Lonchura striata: one gene and its partner. The protein of the gene in region 1 purifies or fractionates together with the protein of each later gene. This does not show direct contact. Links are inferred from orthologs where the notes say so. Each region holds a gene or a part of one and is shown on either strand. Other genes may lie near its edges.

Region 1 (7,212 bases):
GCACATCCCCCGGCCAGCCAAGAGCAAACCTGAGGAGGAGGAGGAGGAGGAGGAGGAGGAGGAGGAGGAAGGAGCTGTGCCAGGGACCCCCCCGCACAAAAGGGTGAGGGATGGGTGTGCCTGGGGGCAGGGGGTGGGCAGAGCCTCCTCCTGAACCCTCCATTTTTCTCCACAGTTTCGCTCCCTGTTTTTTGGCTCGGTGATGACACCAGGGAGGCCTGGCCCGGCCACCACCCAGGAGGTGCTGGCGGAGGACAGCGATGGAGAAAGCTGAGCCCCGAGTCACTGCCAGCCCCAGCCTCCATCCAACCACCAGGACAGGCACCCCCCAGTGACCCATTACAAGTTTATTCCTCAAAAAAGCCTCCTGCCCCCCCCCTCTGCTGCCACCCCAGGGCTGGGCTCTGGGCTCCCCCCTCGCCCCAGCTCTACCTGCCCTGGGCCTGGATTTGCTTTGGTGGAGCGTGGCGGGAGGGGGGCAGGATCCTACAAATAAAAAAACGAGTCGAAAGAAAAGCGACCTGATGCTTGGGCGGGGGGCTGCGGGGCGTGGGCAGCACAGGGGCGGCTCCCAGCTCATTTCTTGGCTTTGGCAGAGTTTCGGGGAGGGGTGACGGGCCGTCCGGCGGGGTTCAGCCCGCTGAACTGCCCGTATTTGCCTTTGTTCTTGTCGGCCGGCTTCAAAATCTGCGGGGGAAGGGGGAAAGAAATCAGTGAGCTCCCACCCCGGCTCTCCACTGCCCTGGAGGGCAGAACTCCCTGCAGCCCTCCCGGCAGGAACTGGGGGTGTTTCCCCTCCCTGGGCTCACCTGGAAAGAGCACATGAGGGTCTCATCCACGCTCATCATGGCGCCGGCGTTGTCGAACTCGCCGCAGTAGTTGGGGGCCGAGAAGAGGGTGACGAGCTGGCGCTTGGCGAAGAACTCGTAGCCATCCTCCACCACCTGGGGGGGGGCACGGGGTTGGCAAAAATCCACCCCCCATGGCCACTATCCCAGTATTCCCAGTCCCCCAGGCTGAAATCCAGCCCTCTCTAGCAAGGTGAATGCTCCCTTCCCCGCAGCAAACAGCCAGCACTGGGACAAACACCCACTGCCCCAGGGCAAATATCCATCTCCAGAGCGATTATCCAGCCTCTGGGAGGAACAGCCACATCCCAGGGTGACTATTCATCCCCCCTGGGCAAATAGTTTGACATCAGAGCAAACACCCAAATGCTGAGGCAAATACCCAAATCCCAGGACAAACACCCCCAGAATTCCAACCCACACACTCCTGGGGTGCACACTGCCCTTGAAGGGGAAACACTCGGGGTAGAACCACCTGACACCCACTGGAGACCCAAACCCCCATGTCCCCAGTGTCTGGGGGTCCCGGTGGTACCTGGTGCGCCCGGCAGATGAGATCCAGGTCATGCTTGTGCAGGAATTTGGCCACCACCTCGGCCCCGAAAGTGAAGGAGACCCCACGGTCGTTCTCCCCCCAGCCCTGCACGTCCTTGTCGGGGTCGGACCAGAGCAGGTCACAGAGCAGCCCCTGATCCGGGACATCCGTGGGCCGCATGATCCGCCGGATCTGCTCCATCGACTGCAGGTCTGGGGACAGCCCTGCGGGAAAGGGGCACCCCAGAGCTCAGCAAGGAGACCCCAACCCTCCTCCAGCCCTCCCAAGCCCCTGGGAAGGGCCATTCCCACCTCCGTGGCAGCAGAAGATCTTCTCATCCACGATGGCAGCAATGGGCAAACAATTGAAGCAGTCGGTGAAGGTCTTCCAGAGCTTGATGTTGTATCTTCGCTTGCCTGCGGGGCACAAAGGGGGCTTGGAGGTGACCCAGGGGACAGCCTGGGGGTGGGCAGGAGGACACCGAGGAAGGGCAGGAAGACATGGTGGGGAGGGAAGGAGGTCACAGGTGGGGTCAGTGTGGGACAGCACTGGGATGACACCGGGAAAGGGGGAGCCCAGGGATGGCAGTGGGGTTTTGGGGGGCACAGCCCGGGCACTCACACTCATCATAGAAGCCATAGATGCGGTTGATGCTGGCACACTCGTGGTTGCCCCGCAGCAGGAAGAAGTTCTCGGGGTACTTGATTTTATAGGCAAGCAGCAGGCAGATGGTCTCCAGGGACTGCTTGCCCCGGTCCACGTAGTCGCCCAAAAATAGGTAATTGCTCTCAGGGGGGAAGCCCCCGTACTCAAAGAGCCTCAGGAGGTCGTAGTACTGCCCGTGGATGTCACCTGGAGGGGGGACACAGGCTGTGAGTGGCACCCTGCAGCCCCCCGCACCAGCCCAGTGCTGCCCAGCAGCCGTGCAGGCCTCACCGCAGATCTTGAGGGGTGCCTCCAGCTCCAGCAGGATGGGCTGGCTCAGGAAGATCTCCCGGGATTTGAGGCACAGCCCGCGGATCTCGTTCTCTGTCAGCTGCACGTTTTTCCCCGGCCGCGATCCTTGGACTGCTCCCAGCACAGAGAACAGGATCAGGGATCTCCAAGGGCTCGGGGACACCTACAGCACCCCGGGAACCCCTTCTCCAGCTGCCCCAGCCCTCCCTGCCCGTATCCCCCACGCCCTGCAGGCTCAGCTCCAGCCCCCAGACCCTTCGGGGCCCCCCAGTGCCCCTCCGCGGGGCACAGACCCTTTGGGAACCCCCCATTTCCCCCAGCCCCCTCCCGCGGGGCACAAACCCATTCGGTATCCCGCCTCATATCCCCCACATCCCCCGGACTCATCTCCGGCTGCCCAGGCCCCATGGGAACCCCCCAAAACCTTTCCCAGCCCTGACCCCCCCCCGAACCACCGCGGCCTAACCCGCCCCCGCCAGGCCCGGGCCGGGGACTCCCCCCGCGGCGTTGGGACGCGGCCCGAGCCGGCCGCGAGAGGTTCCGGGAGCGGAGGGAGGGCGTCCCGGCGCTCGGGGGGGCGGCGGGGGCCCGCTCACCCTCCAGGAGGCGGCTGATGATGGAGTCGAGGTTGAGCTTCTCGGTGTCCGCCATGGCCGCCCGCGCGCCGCCCCGCCTCGCGCGCCCGCCCGCAGCGGCCCCGCCGCGCGCCCGCCCCCTGCCGGCCCGGAGGAGTCGCTGCAGCCCGGCCGGCCCCGGTGCCCCGGGGGAAACGGGGACGGCGCGGCGGGGACACGGGCAGCAGCGAGCCGCGGGACACCGGCAACAGCGAGCCGCGGGGACACCGGCAGCAGCGAGCCGCGGGACACCGGCAGCAGCGAGCCGCGGGACACCGGCAGCAGCGAGCCGCGGCGGGGGCGCAGGGGCACGGGGACACGCTCCGCAGGGGGACATTCCGAGCAGGGAAAACGTGACACCCCGGGCAGAGGGACACCCCTGGCAGAGGGACATGTCCTGGGAAAGGGGACACCGCGGCAACGGGATATTCCCGGGCAAGGGGGACACCGCGGGCAGAGAGCCTTCGCTGGAAAGGAGAACGTGCCGGGCTGAAGGACTTCCCTGGAGCGGAGGACGTCCTGGGAAAGGGGACATCCTGGGAAAGGCGACATCCTGCGTTGTTCTCTACAACCCGGGCAGGCGGACACGCCGGGCAAGGGATAGAGCTCGGGCAAGGGGACACGGGGGACATGGACTCGTATCCTGGCCTGGGGGCACAGGGATAGGGAGGGAGTGGGAGGGGAACAGCCTCAGGATAGACAGAGGTTCCCGGGACTGCGAGGGACAGGAGGGGACACAGAGGGAACCGAGGATCTGTATCCCGGTCCTGGGCGCGCAGGGACAGCCTGGGGACCCGGGAGGACACGAGGGGACAGGATGCTTGGTAGAGCCCAGGGATATCCCCACCCGGGGACTCTGGGGACACCGTCGGGAGCAGCACCGGGCGGTTGCCGGGAGATTGTCGCCACGCTGAGGTCCCCGGGGACACCCCGAAGGGCGTGTCCCCACCGGGGACACGGGGGAGGGTGACACATTTGTGCCACCGCTCGTGGACGGTGGCAGTGGCAGGGATGGGGTCATGGCTGTCCCTTGTCCACACTGGCTGTGCCATGCCTTGCCACGCCGTGCCATTCCCTGGGTGCCATTCCCAGGGTGCCACGCCGTGCCACGCCATGCCATTCCCCGCGTCCCATTCCATGTCGTGCGGGGAGGTCGCGAATAGCTCCCGGGACCTGCCCTGACATTTCTGCTTCGCGGTGTCAGTTTTACACCCGGCCCCGGGTGACCCCGGGCTGGCCCCGTCCCTGCCTCCGGACGCTTGTCCCCTACCCCCGTCCCTATCCCCGTCCCTTGTCCCACTCCCTACCCGAGTCCCTTGTCCCCGTCTCCCAGCGGTGGCACCCCGGTTCCGCCACCCTCACCTCCGCTGCCCCCTTTGTTCTGCCACCCCCTTCGGTGTCCCGGTCCCCCCGGTGCCCCCGGTCCCGCCCCGCCCCGCCCCGCCCGAGCAGGACACGGCACCGCCGCCACCGCCGGGACCGGAGCGGGCAGAGCCGCTGCTGGGGCTGCGACAGCACCGGGACCGACACCGGGAAACCCCACCAGACCCCGACACCGCCGGGACCGGAGCGAGCAGAGCCGCTCCACTGCCGGGTGCGACAACACCAGGACAGACCGGCACCGACAGACACCGGCACCGGCACCGGTGGGTGCTGAAGGCAGCGGGGGTGATCTGGGTGGGCTTGGGGGTGCCGGTGCCGGGGGGCGGGAGCAGCGGGATGGGGGTCGGGGTGCGTGTGCACACCTGCGACACGGTGCCGGTGACAGCGCAGGTGACAGGTGGGTGATGATGTTCACGACACGGTGAGGGTGACAGGGTGCAGGTGACGGTGCGGTGACATGGTGCGGGTTATGGGGTCTGGGTGGCAGTGCGGGTGACAGGTAGGTGATATGAGTGACAAGTGGCGGGTGACAGATGCAGGTGACAAGGTGCCGGCGATGGTGCGGTGTCGCCGTGTGGGTGACGAGGTGTGTGACAGGTGCGGGTGACAAGACCCTGGTGGTGGTGCAGGTGACGGTGCGTGGTGGGTTGTGTGTGACAGGGCGCACGTGACAGTTCAGGTGACAATGAGGGTGGCAGGGTGCAGGGGGTGGCGCGGGTGGCAGGCAGCGGGTGACAGCGCGTGCAGGACTCTGCAGCACGGCAGCCGCGCTGGTGGCCCCGTGCCTGCCGGTGGCCGTGACGGTGACAGTGACAGTGACGCCGCGGGCAGCTGGAACTAAGCCGGGGGACGTGCGTGCTGGCAGCTCCGCCACGCTGGGGACAGGGGGACAGGGCGGGGGGGAGGACGAGGGGCGTGCCCAGCCAGGGGACGCGGGACAGGGGGACAGGAGAGCCCGGCCAGGCTGATCCTCCCCCCGGCTCCCGCTGAGGCAGCTCGCTACTGACGGGGACAGGGACACGGACAGGGGTGCCAGCGCCTGGCGCGAGGTGGCAGAGGGGACAATGAGGCTCTGTGTCGCCTAATCCGGGGCACGGGGCCGGGGGTTGGCACCCCGGGGTGGCGCGGGGGGGTTTAAAGGCCAGACCGGCCGGCGTCCCCTGTGCCAGGCGTCCCCGAGCCCTCGTCCCCTGCGAGCTCTCAGGCCACGGCTCCCACCCCAAGGTACCGGGCGACACAGCTGTCCCAGCTTGGGGACAGCAGCAGCACCTCCCAGCTGGGGATGGAGGGGGACAGCGCGGTCCCGCGGCTGGGGGGGCGCGGACCTTGAGGGACCCCCGTGACTGGGTTTTGGGGGGCCCTTGTGCCACGCCACCGAGCCGTGTGTCCCCTAACGCTGTCACCGGGTGCCAGGCTTGGGGATATCCTGGCTGCCAGCGGGCACCGCTCAGCTCCGTGCCTCAGTTTCCCTCTGTGCCCAGCTCTGCCGGGCACCTGCTGGGAGCGAAGGCACCAGGGGGGTGGGGACAACCGGTCCCTGGGTCTGCACCCCCAGGGCACCTTGGCACCCCCGGGATGGGGAGGTGCCCCCGGCTGTGCTGAGCTGGCACGGGATTACACTAAGCCGGAGGTGCCGGGGCCACCGGGGCTGGCACCGAGGGAACAACCTGAGGCCACCGTGACTGGCACCAAGGGGTCAATCTGGGGCCACCAGACCTGTCAAAGAGGGGACGAGCTGGGGCCACAGGGACTGGCACCGAGGGGTCAGTGCGGGGACACTGAGACTAGCGCTGAGGGGACAACATGAAGACAGCGGAGCTGGCACCGAGGTGTGCCCCAGGAAGGGTGCCAGGCTCTGGTGGGTGCTGCAGGACAGGTCTCTCCACGGGAGCTGGGCTTGGGGCTCCCAGCACCGGCCGGGGGCGGCCAGGGAGGGGTGGCAAGTCCCCAGGGAGCCGCGCTGACTCTGCCTGTCCTTCTCTTGCAGCCCCTCTGTCACCAGGATGGTGAGTGGCCCCCGGGTGGGGGGGTCCGGGCGGAGGTGGATGCCCCATCCCGGGATCCCGGCGGTGCCGGGCACTGGCGTGGGGCAGCGGGCAGCGCAGCGTGCTGTGCCCACCCGCCGCGTGACCCCGCGGGGACAAGGGGACGCTTTGTCCGGGAGCTGGCGGCCCCGGCGGCTGGCACTGCCCCGTTGTCCCCGAGGTGGTGGCGCCGTGCCCGGCGCCTGCAGCCCCCCAGCACCCCGACGCCCCCACCCCACGGGTGGGCAGCGGCGCCCGCTGTGTCCTGTGTCAGCCCCCCCGTGTACGCCCCGTGCCCACACGGGGTCTGTCCCCGTGCCAGCTCCGTGCCAGACCCGTGCCAGCCCCTTAACCCCACGCCAGCCCCATACCACCCCCTTACCCCCGTGCCAGCCCCGTGCCAGCCCTGTCCCTGCTCCCGCAGCTCTCGACGTCCCAGCCGAGCACGGAGCGGGTGCCCAGCCCGGAGGAGCAGGAGTGGGCAGGGCCCGAGGCGCTGTGCCCAGGCTGGCTGGAGGACGAAGCCCCCGATGGCGAAGTGCCCGGGGACAGTGGGGACCCCGACTGTGCCACCCACGCCTACGAGCGGCTCCAGAGCGCCCTGTGCCAGGAGGGGCTGCCCCCCACGCTGGACTGCTCCGCGGAGCCCCGCACGGGTTGGGGACACGGGGGGCACGGTGCCAGGCTGGGACACGGGGGTGGCAGGGACTGGGGTGGGGATGGGGGAATGGTGCCAGGCTGGGACACGGGGGTGGCAGGGACAGTGATGTGGGCTCGGTGCCAGGCTGGGACACGGGGCTGGCAGGGACAGCGATGTGGGCGCAGTGCCAGGTTGGGACACGGGGGTGGCA
Region 2 (7,847 bases), on another chromosome or scaffold:
CTATTAAACCAAAACATGTTCTACAGATTATTACTTTTGTCCTCAAAGTAGGTTAAAAACATCTGGAAATGTTAATAGCAGAGATATAAGAAAGTTAAATTTTTAGTTTCCCTGTCAATTGTTTTGTTTACCATCTCCTTTCACACCACAGGTACTCCACAACCTTCCCAGTGCTTTCCAGCAGCGCAGCACCACGTCCCCGTCAGAGCCGAGGCATTTGCATTTCAATGCCCTGCCCGTACCCGAATGTCAGCTCTGACACACCGACTGCACGGGAGGGAGCAGCTGGGCAGGATTCCTGCAGCAGCACAGCAAGTGGGGGCAGCGGGGTGGCAGGAGACAGCCCTCACCTCGGAGCCCTGCCTGGCAATCCTCTGGGCTCCCTGCTCCGGGGCTGGGCAAGAGAGGCTCCAACAGCCTCACTTAAAAAAAAAACTATTAACACCGCCTGAAACCAAGCCAACCTCATCAGAGAGCAATCAGAACAAGAGAAGCAGTGACACGGAGGAAAGCTGCAGATCCTTATCTCTTCAGAAAAAAGGGCAAAGACGACATGGGCCATTAGCAGAGATGGGATAGTGTGATCCTAAACCGGGATGAGGGGCAGCTGGAGGGAAAAGGGAGCCTAAGAGCAAAGACTAAACAGGAAAAGGGAAAAGGAAAGGAGACACACAGGCGGTTACGTTCAGAAACAAGGTAGAGAAAACATGTTACAAGTTGTTAACTTAGACTAAGCTTTCCACATACATATTTTTCCTAGCATGATACAGAAGGTTAACAGTAACTGTCGATGTCTATGACCCTTATCAATAGATTATAATAGCTATCATAATATTTTACTATCTTGTTTAGAGGAAAAAAAATTAGTCAACATTTAGGAGTCATTTAGACAAATAGAAACACCCCCCCCCCCCTTTATTTTTCTTTAAGTTGCTGATTCCAACCAATTCCCTTACTTGGAAAGTAAACAGGAAATAATACATATATTAGTAAACATGCCTGGAAATGGATTTTCTAAAGAGCTGAAAAGAAACACAAATTACTCAAGAAGTTGAAATGATATTTTGTCCCTTTGCTCTCTTTCACTGAAAGAACCATTAAACTGGCAGATATGTAGGAAATGCTGCTCCTTCAAACTAACTGTATGCTCTAAATCAAACCTTGCATCCATTATGAATTGCAGCTGAGTTAAAGTGCCTACCTGCAGCCAGGCCAGGCAGCAAAGTCTGCTGGCTCTTTGTTCTGCAGCTGGCAGCTCCTGCCCAGGCTCAGGAATCACACCCCACCTGCCACTGCTGTTCAGGTGAGGAAGGTGTAGTTAGGCCAAAGAGATCTGTTTAAAAAGGTATTTTAGGAAGTCTGTGAATGAAGTCATCTACATGGGATAATCTAGCAATAAGGTAAAGCCATCAGGAAATGAATACATAAGATTAATCATGGAAAGTTACTCATGGAAAACTGGTAATTCCTTCTTGCATAGTTCTGTATTTTAGAGAATAAAACAAAGTTTTCCTGAAAACACACTGAGCAGTAACTCTGCCAGGAAGATGCTTCATCTGGATAAAACAACTCACCTACTTTACAGACACAAGCTTTTAAGCCAGTATGAAACTAGATTAAGAGCTCTAACAATTCCATACAATCATGTACAATCTCCACAAGTATTTGCTGCTCTTGCTACACCTCTTGATTCAGTCTGTCTAGAGGAGGTTTTAAGTCATAAGTCACACAGAAGGAAGTACATCCAGTTTGTCACAAAGGTAGCTGTTCAGCTGGCAATTTTAAGCAAGTTAAACTTTCTAACTATAGAAACTAATTATTGGAATTCCATAAAGTCTTGTTTCCTAAAACATCTGTGTGTTCTTTCCTTCATGCCCATATATCTCTGTATGTTATTTTTTCTGTAAATATCTGGGAATGAAGTGTTTTAGCAGACATTAGACAGCCTTTATGCCTCAGTGAGGAAGGGGAAAAACTTTGGAGGCACTTAGAAAGCAATTAAAGAAGAATGAGCTCTATAAAAGTAAATGGCAAAGACCTAAAGCAAACACAAACTATGATCTCTGAGAAGGATCCCCCTATTAAATTCGAAGTCAGAGATCCACCAGACGATATTCCCCCTTGCCCCTGTGCTCACCTTGGAGCAGCCTGGCCATTCTGCATCAAATATCAGCTGCTCCACAACTAACAGAACTGCAAAGTATTCACATCGTTTCATTTGCTGTCCCAGCGCAAATCCCAGCTTTCCCAGCCCAGCCTCAACTTCACCCTCAGTAAAAACTGGCAAACAGACCGACCCACATACAAATCCAAAATAACCTTCGAGAGAAAGGACCGAGAGGATGGAATGCAGCTACACACGTACACGCTAACACGTAAAGCCTTTCAAGTCAGTAATTCGTAATAATAACAGAGCACGGACAGAGCCCCGGCAGGAACAGCATCCACCCGGCACCCACAGCAGCTTTATCCCGGGAAATTCCTCGAAGGTGTCAGCGCGGGGCAGGCGCTCCCCGGCAGGGCGCGGGCCCGCGCCGCACGCTCCCGGCCGCGCTGCGGGCTCGGGCAGCGCCGGGGCTGCCGGCGAGCACCGGGGCCCCGCGCCGCCAGCGGGGGCGAGGGCGGCGCGGCCCCGCGGGGCCCCGGCGCGGCTGCCGGCGCCAGACGGGCTCTGCGGGCGCCGCCGCGACCGGGACCGCGGCGGGGCGAGGGGCGCCGGGGGACCCGAGGGGAGGGAGTGACGGGCAGGCGGCGGCCGCGCCTCGCCGGAGCCCCGCTCGGTGCCCCCGCCCGCGGCCCCGCGGAGGAAAGCGGACCGCCGCCGCCCCCCGGCCTCCCCTCACGGCGCGAGGGGTCGTCACCCCCTCCCGCCCCTCACCTGGCAGGGGCTCGCCGGCCCCGCGGCGCCTCCCGCGAGGAGGCGGCGGCTGCGCCCAGGCGGCTCCGTGCGGGCTCGGTGCCGTTCCCGCCGGGCCCGCCGAGGACGCGGCTCCCGGGACGGGGCTGCGACCGCCGCGCCCGCGCGCAACAACCAACTCCGGGTGCCGCCCCCCGCGCGCGCACCGCGGCGGGGAGCCCCGCCCCCCGATCGCTCATTGGCCGCCGGCAGCGAGAGGGCGTGGCGCCATCGCGGGGCGGCGCGAGGCCCTCGGGCGGCCAGGGGAACCGCCGTGATAAGACTACAATTCCCGATGCGCACCGCGCGCGGGCCTTTAAATACGTACCGTCATCTCGCGCGTGCGTGTGCAGAAAGTGTGTGCTTCCGCCTGCGGTGGTGAAGTAGTCCCGCTGCGTGGTTTGAGCTCCAGCCCCGCGCTGGGCCGCTGAGGGAGCGGAGCGGCGGGCGCTGAGCCGGGAGCCCTCTCGGCTTTGCGGGCCTTCTCCCGAGGGGCTCCTCTGGGGGAGGCGAGAGGGCCGCTCTGAGGCGGGAGCGGAGGGATCCGAGCAGGCGGAGTTGTTAGGCGGCGGGCGCGTGCAGGACGCGCGGCGGCTGCGCGGGCTGAGGGGACCCGGCTGAGGGGACGCGGCCGCCCCCGGGACCCCGGCCCTGCGCCAGAGCCGCCGCCGGCAGGTCAGTGGGGACGGCCGCGGGCCCGCCGCCCCTCCTCGGCCGGCAAGGAGTCGGCGGGCGGCTGCGGGTGCTGTGGCCCGCCGTGAGGGGGGCTGGGGGAGCCGCCGGAGCTCACGGGGGGTGAGGGGGAAGAACCGGATGAGGGTCTAAGTGCTTGGCTTTCCGTATTCTCCATTATATATCTTTCCACGGTTCCCCCAAAGCGATATTTCATGGCTCCCTTGGTTCTATTTATTTGTCCTTTCTGTAGGTCCACTTAACGTTCCCTTGTCAAGCAGGTGATTTGTTATAGCGTGGTTTTCTTATACTTCTGTCCAGGTTTCCACATTCAGTTCCCCGTCCCTGGGGGAGTGAGTCTCTTGTGTCGAGGTGGTAAAAAGAAGCCCCGGCCCTGGGGCTGAAGACACCGGGGCCACGTGCCTTGCGAGGCGCCATTCATTCCCGTCCTCTGGAAAACCAGCGCGAGAGTGGAAAGGAGGAAGGGCAGGGCGAATATAAATAAAAGAGCTCCTGCTCTCTAGAGTAGCGTCCTTCAGCGTTTTTGGCTGCCCATTCCTGTCAATAAAGAATGCTTTTTATCATGCCTCTCTCAAATATGTAAATTTATTGGTTCGTCAGTTATCTACACGTAGTGCTCTTCTGATAGATTATAAAACGTACTCAGACATAGAAATTGAGAAAGGATAAGACAAAAGTGAAACAGAGATGGTATTTTAAGACATTATTTCATAAAGCTGCAGAAAATGCAGATTTTTGGTTTGCTTTGCATATGACCCCCTTGACCACTGTGCAAATTCTTCTGAAGTCATCATTCTAAAGAATGTAAACATAAACTGCCGATGAAAAGAAATATGTTTTCTTTTTTAATCCTGGCCACGTGTGCAGGGGTACAACCTATTTGAAGATGGTAAAATGATAGTGAAATGCTTTTTTACCTTCTCTTGGCTTTTTTCACACCTGTATCATATGTCTGTTAGAAGGGATGAGATATTTTGTATTTACAGAACTATATCACTTGGTGGAATATAATTCCGAGTTCAGGAAATTGGGGTAATCTGATAATTTTTTTCCCCCCTGTCCTTAGAAATCCGGCATGCCTTGAAATAGAACTTGAGAAGTTTGGCTTAGAAATGGTGTGCAAAACAGAGTATTTTGATTAGTCTTTAAAATCCTAAGTTAACTTTTATTTAGGATCCCAGTAGTTTTCAAAACAGAAAAATGAGAGGTTGTGTGATCTGACCACACTGTCTTGGTTATAAGTGGATTTTTTGTTCCTTTGGTTGCCCGTGGCGGGGCACACAGAGGGTATGTGGTGATAACATTTGTGGCTCAAAAAAGAGAGCAGAGAATTGTGTTCTTTTAGGTACCTGATGCTTGGGTCCAGCTCCTGGGTGTACCTAACTGTTAGAAGGTGACTATAACAATTTCTGGTGCTCTGCAGTAAAGCAACCACAAGGAGAGAGATTCTCACTGTTTTCCACCTTCTGCTCTTGCAGGGGATCTTCCCTGGCCCAGCTCAGGCTTGCTGTGTATGGCTGGCCAGGACTGCCCCCAGAACTGAGGAGAGGAGCTGATCGCCTCGTGCTTCTGGATTGCTGGATGCCAGCACTGACTGTGAGCTGTGCTTTTGCTTGTACAGCATCACGATGTTACTTTAAGTATCAGAGCACAGGAATGGAGAACATTGTGCACTGATGTGCTGGGCTTGACTTTGTAACCTTTGTTAGTGTCTGTTCCCAGTGAAGTTAAATAAAGGGTCACTCAGTATCCAGTGCCCATTAGCAGGGTGTGTCTCCTCACCTGCCACACCGGCTCAGCCTTTCCATGCTAATTGCTTCTTCTTGACTAAATAGGAATAAATAAACTGTTTTAGGACCAGTTATTCAATGGGATTTTTCTCAAGTTTACAGGCTCATACAAGTTTCTGAATTCTTGCTGTTTCACCCTCCTGCCCTCTCCAGGCTGTGGGTGAAAAATTTAAGTATTGCTGCCATGCACACAGAGCTGTGCTTGGTGTTTTTGAGTGTTGTGGCATGTGCTTTGAGGAATTGTTAGAGAATAAAGTAATAGAGACCCTCTTGATAATGATCTGTGGGAGGGATGGGTGACTCAAAGAAACAGGCCTGTACAATTTTGAGTGCAGTAGGTGAATACAGAAAGGTTGTCTTTTTTTTTTTTTTTCCCCAGTTGTTCATGTACCTTTAATAAAATGCTGTTTCAATCTGAAATGCGAGTGGCTTGGGAGTCCCAAAATGAAGTTGCTCTCTGAATTCTTTCTAGCTTTTTAAATTTTTTTACTTCCATGATTTCCCTTAGAAAGAGAGGGGAAATGTTTCTTATGTTCTTGGGAGCTGTTAAACTTCTGCTATTTTTAAGACAAGAAGAGTGATCAATAAACACAATTCAACATGAGGTATGAATTACTAAGTGTAGTTTGTTTTCAGAAGCCACTGTTTTTTTGAGAGGATTGGTTTATGAAAGCAGGTAAGGCTAGTTGATGGCTATTTGAAATACACAGTCAACTGGTAGCTAAAGCTTTATTGATGTAGGTCAGGCTCCGTGGCAAGGTGAGCAGTGTTGGCCATATTGTGTTGTCTGACTCCAGGAGTGGCTCCTTCATGTCCAGTGGCATCAGCAGCACAGCTGTTGGCTCTGATGGTAGCTGTTAGTTTTTACTGGGAGCTGGCCTCGATGGTCCTTGTGGGTCCCTTCTGTATTCCGAATTCTGTATTCTGTGGTGCAAACTTGTAGTCTGATACTGGACCTTGAATTCTGAGAGGGCAAACCAGCCAGATCTGGGTTTGTGCCTGCAATGACAGTGTTCCTGCCAGGGGCTGGTGGCAAGCATTTCATTTCCAGACCAGTCTGTTTTAATCTCTTGCATAATGGGATTGCTGGGATGTATATGGTAAAGCTATTTGTATGCACATTAATCCCACAGATGACTAATTCTTGTTAAAGGAATAACTTGCACTGTTCATAGCTGTTAGGGGCAAAGCTGAGACTGACATTTGATTTCCGAAGGTCTACTTGGTACCAGTTTGACAAGGACAGCTTTTGATGAATTGCAGCTACCCCTACTTATGAATGTGTTTATTTGTGAGAAATCTTCATTCTGTGTTACAGGGAAACAAAACTACTTAACTGTGGAATACCTGAATTTCTTCCAAGTTCTGAATTTATTAGGAAATCTTCCTTGTTCCTTGACCTTACTTTTGCAAATTTTGATGTATTTGGAAAGAAACCTGTCTTTCAGAAACATTAGGAACATTATTCGCAAGAGTGTTTTAATAGTAAATATGTTAAAAGGAGCCTGTGCTGTGTTGCCTTCATTAATGATTTTAATCCTAGAAACAAGAAATCTTGCACTGTTTTGCAGGAGACTGTGGCAAGAGCTGACTTTGGCTGACTGATTTCAGTCTTTTTAGACAATATATCTTTCCTGGCATACAGTGAATTGCAAAATAAACCTTATATTTCACTGTTTTTGAAATTCTTATGTCTTGCATTGTCTATACTGTCTCTTCATGTAAAAGGGAGTGTAAATCTAAGACACTGCAATGTGCCTTTTATGCATCATGACTGGGATAATTAATGAGATGAGCAATGGGCATCCTTAGCCTGCAGTTCAGGATACTGGGATAGCATGAAAATGACAAAAGATGGTTTAGTCACAAGACTGAGTAGTAGAAAGCTTTCTTGCTGTCAATAAAAATGTGTGACGTGCATAAGAGAATGAGGGTAGTCAAAGTGTTGGTTATTAGTTGACTTCAAGAGGCTTAAGACTGACAGGATTTATTTCTGGATTTTTTTTACATTTTTTTTTCTTCCCCTAACAAGTGCAAAACACAGAGGATTTCTCAACAATTTAGTGAATTAACAGGGGAAAAGACTACTTTTGTTTTATTATTGTGTTCAAATACGAAAAGATGATAAATTCATAGCTTTAATTATACGGTGGTGTCTGAGGGATTGTCTGCAGCCAAAAGAAAGGGAACAGTTTTTAACTGCCCTTCAAAATGTCATCTGTAGAACTTGCCAGGCTTTGTTTGGAGGGGCTCTCAGTCTTAACCAAATAGTGATTAAGGCAGGTCTGATTTGGCTGTCTCTGGTCTATAGTTCCTTTTATTTCATGTAAGTAGTATGGCATGAATTAGTGAGTTTTTTGTGAATTTTTGTGTTTGTTACTTAAGAAATAAATGATTTGTTCCTCTTGAAATTCCCTTGGCTGCTGTTTTGAAGCCTTGGATATAAGGTGGTGTGTTTCTTCTTAACT

The links. Proteins that work in one complex are often made in the same cells at the same time.
Region 2: the proteins of PPP1CA (region 1) and PEAK1 purify together in Homo sapiens (affinity purification with mass spectrometry; 3 studies listed by BioGRID and IntAct, counting the BioPlex papers as one, with this or other methods). This does not show direct contact. The link is inferred for Lonchura striata from reciprocal best matches to the Homo sapiens genes PPP1CA and PEAK1.

Annotation. Positions count from the first base shown.
Region 1 is NC_134608.1:53,829,741-53,836,952, reverse strand, and holds PPP1CA (serine/threonine-protein phosphatase PP1-alpha catalytic subunit), read right to left. Parts: upstream 2,992-7,212; coding exon 2,937-2,991; intron 2,452-2,936; coding exon 2,320-2,451; intron 2,236-2,319; coding exon 2,005-2,235; intron 1,800-2,004; coding exon 1,695-1,799; intron 1,608-1,694; coding exon 1,384-1,607; intron 945-1,383; coding exon 810-944; intron 688-809; coding exon 577-687; 3' UTR 506-576; downstream 1-505. Other genes in the region: cell cycle checkpoint control protein RAD9A, read left to right, coding at 1-103, 176-274; CARNS1 (carnosine synthase 1), read left to right, coding at 2,990-3,095, 4,288-4,734, 4,841-4,934, 5,095-5,188, 6,325-6,602, 6,755-7,017. UniProt on the Homo sapiens protein: Protein phosphatase that associates with over 200 regulatory proteins to form highly specific holoenzymes which dephosphorylate hundreds of biological targets.
Region 2 is NC_134613.1:5,200,886-5,208,732, forward strand, and holds the start of PEAK1 (inactive tyrosine-protein kinase PEAK1), read right to left. Parts: upstream 3,003-7,847; 5' UTR 2,879-3,002; intron 1-2,878. UniProt on the Homo sapiens protein: Probable catalytically inactive kinase. Scaffolding protein that regulates the cytoskeleton to control cell spreading and migration by modulating focal adhesion dynamics. Acts as a scaffold for mediating EGFR signaling.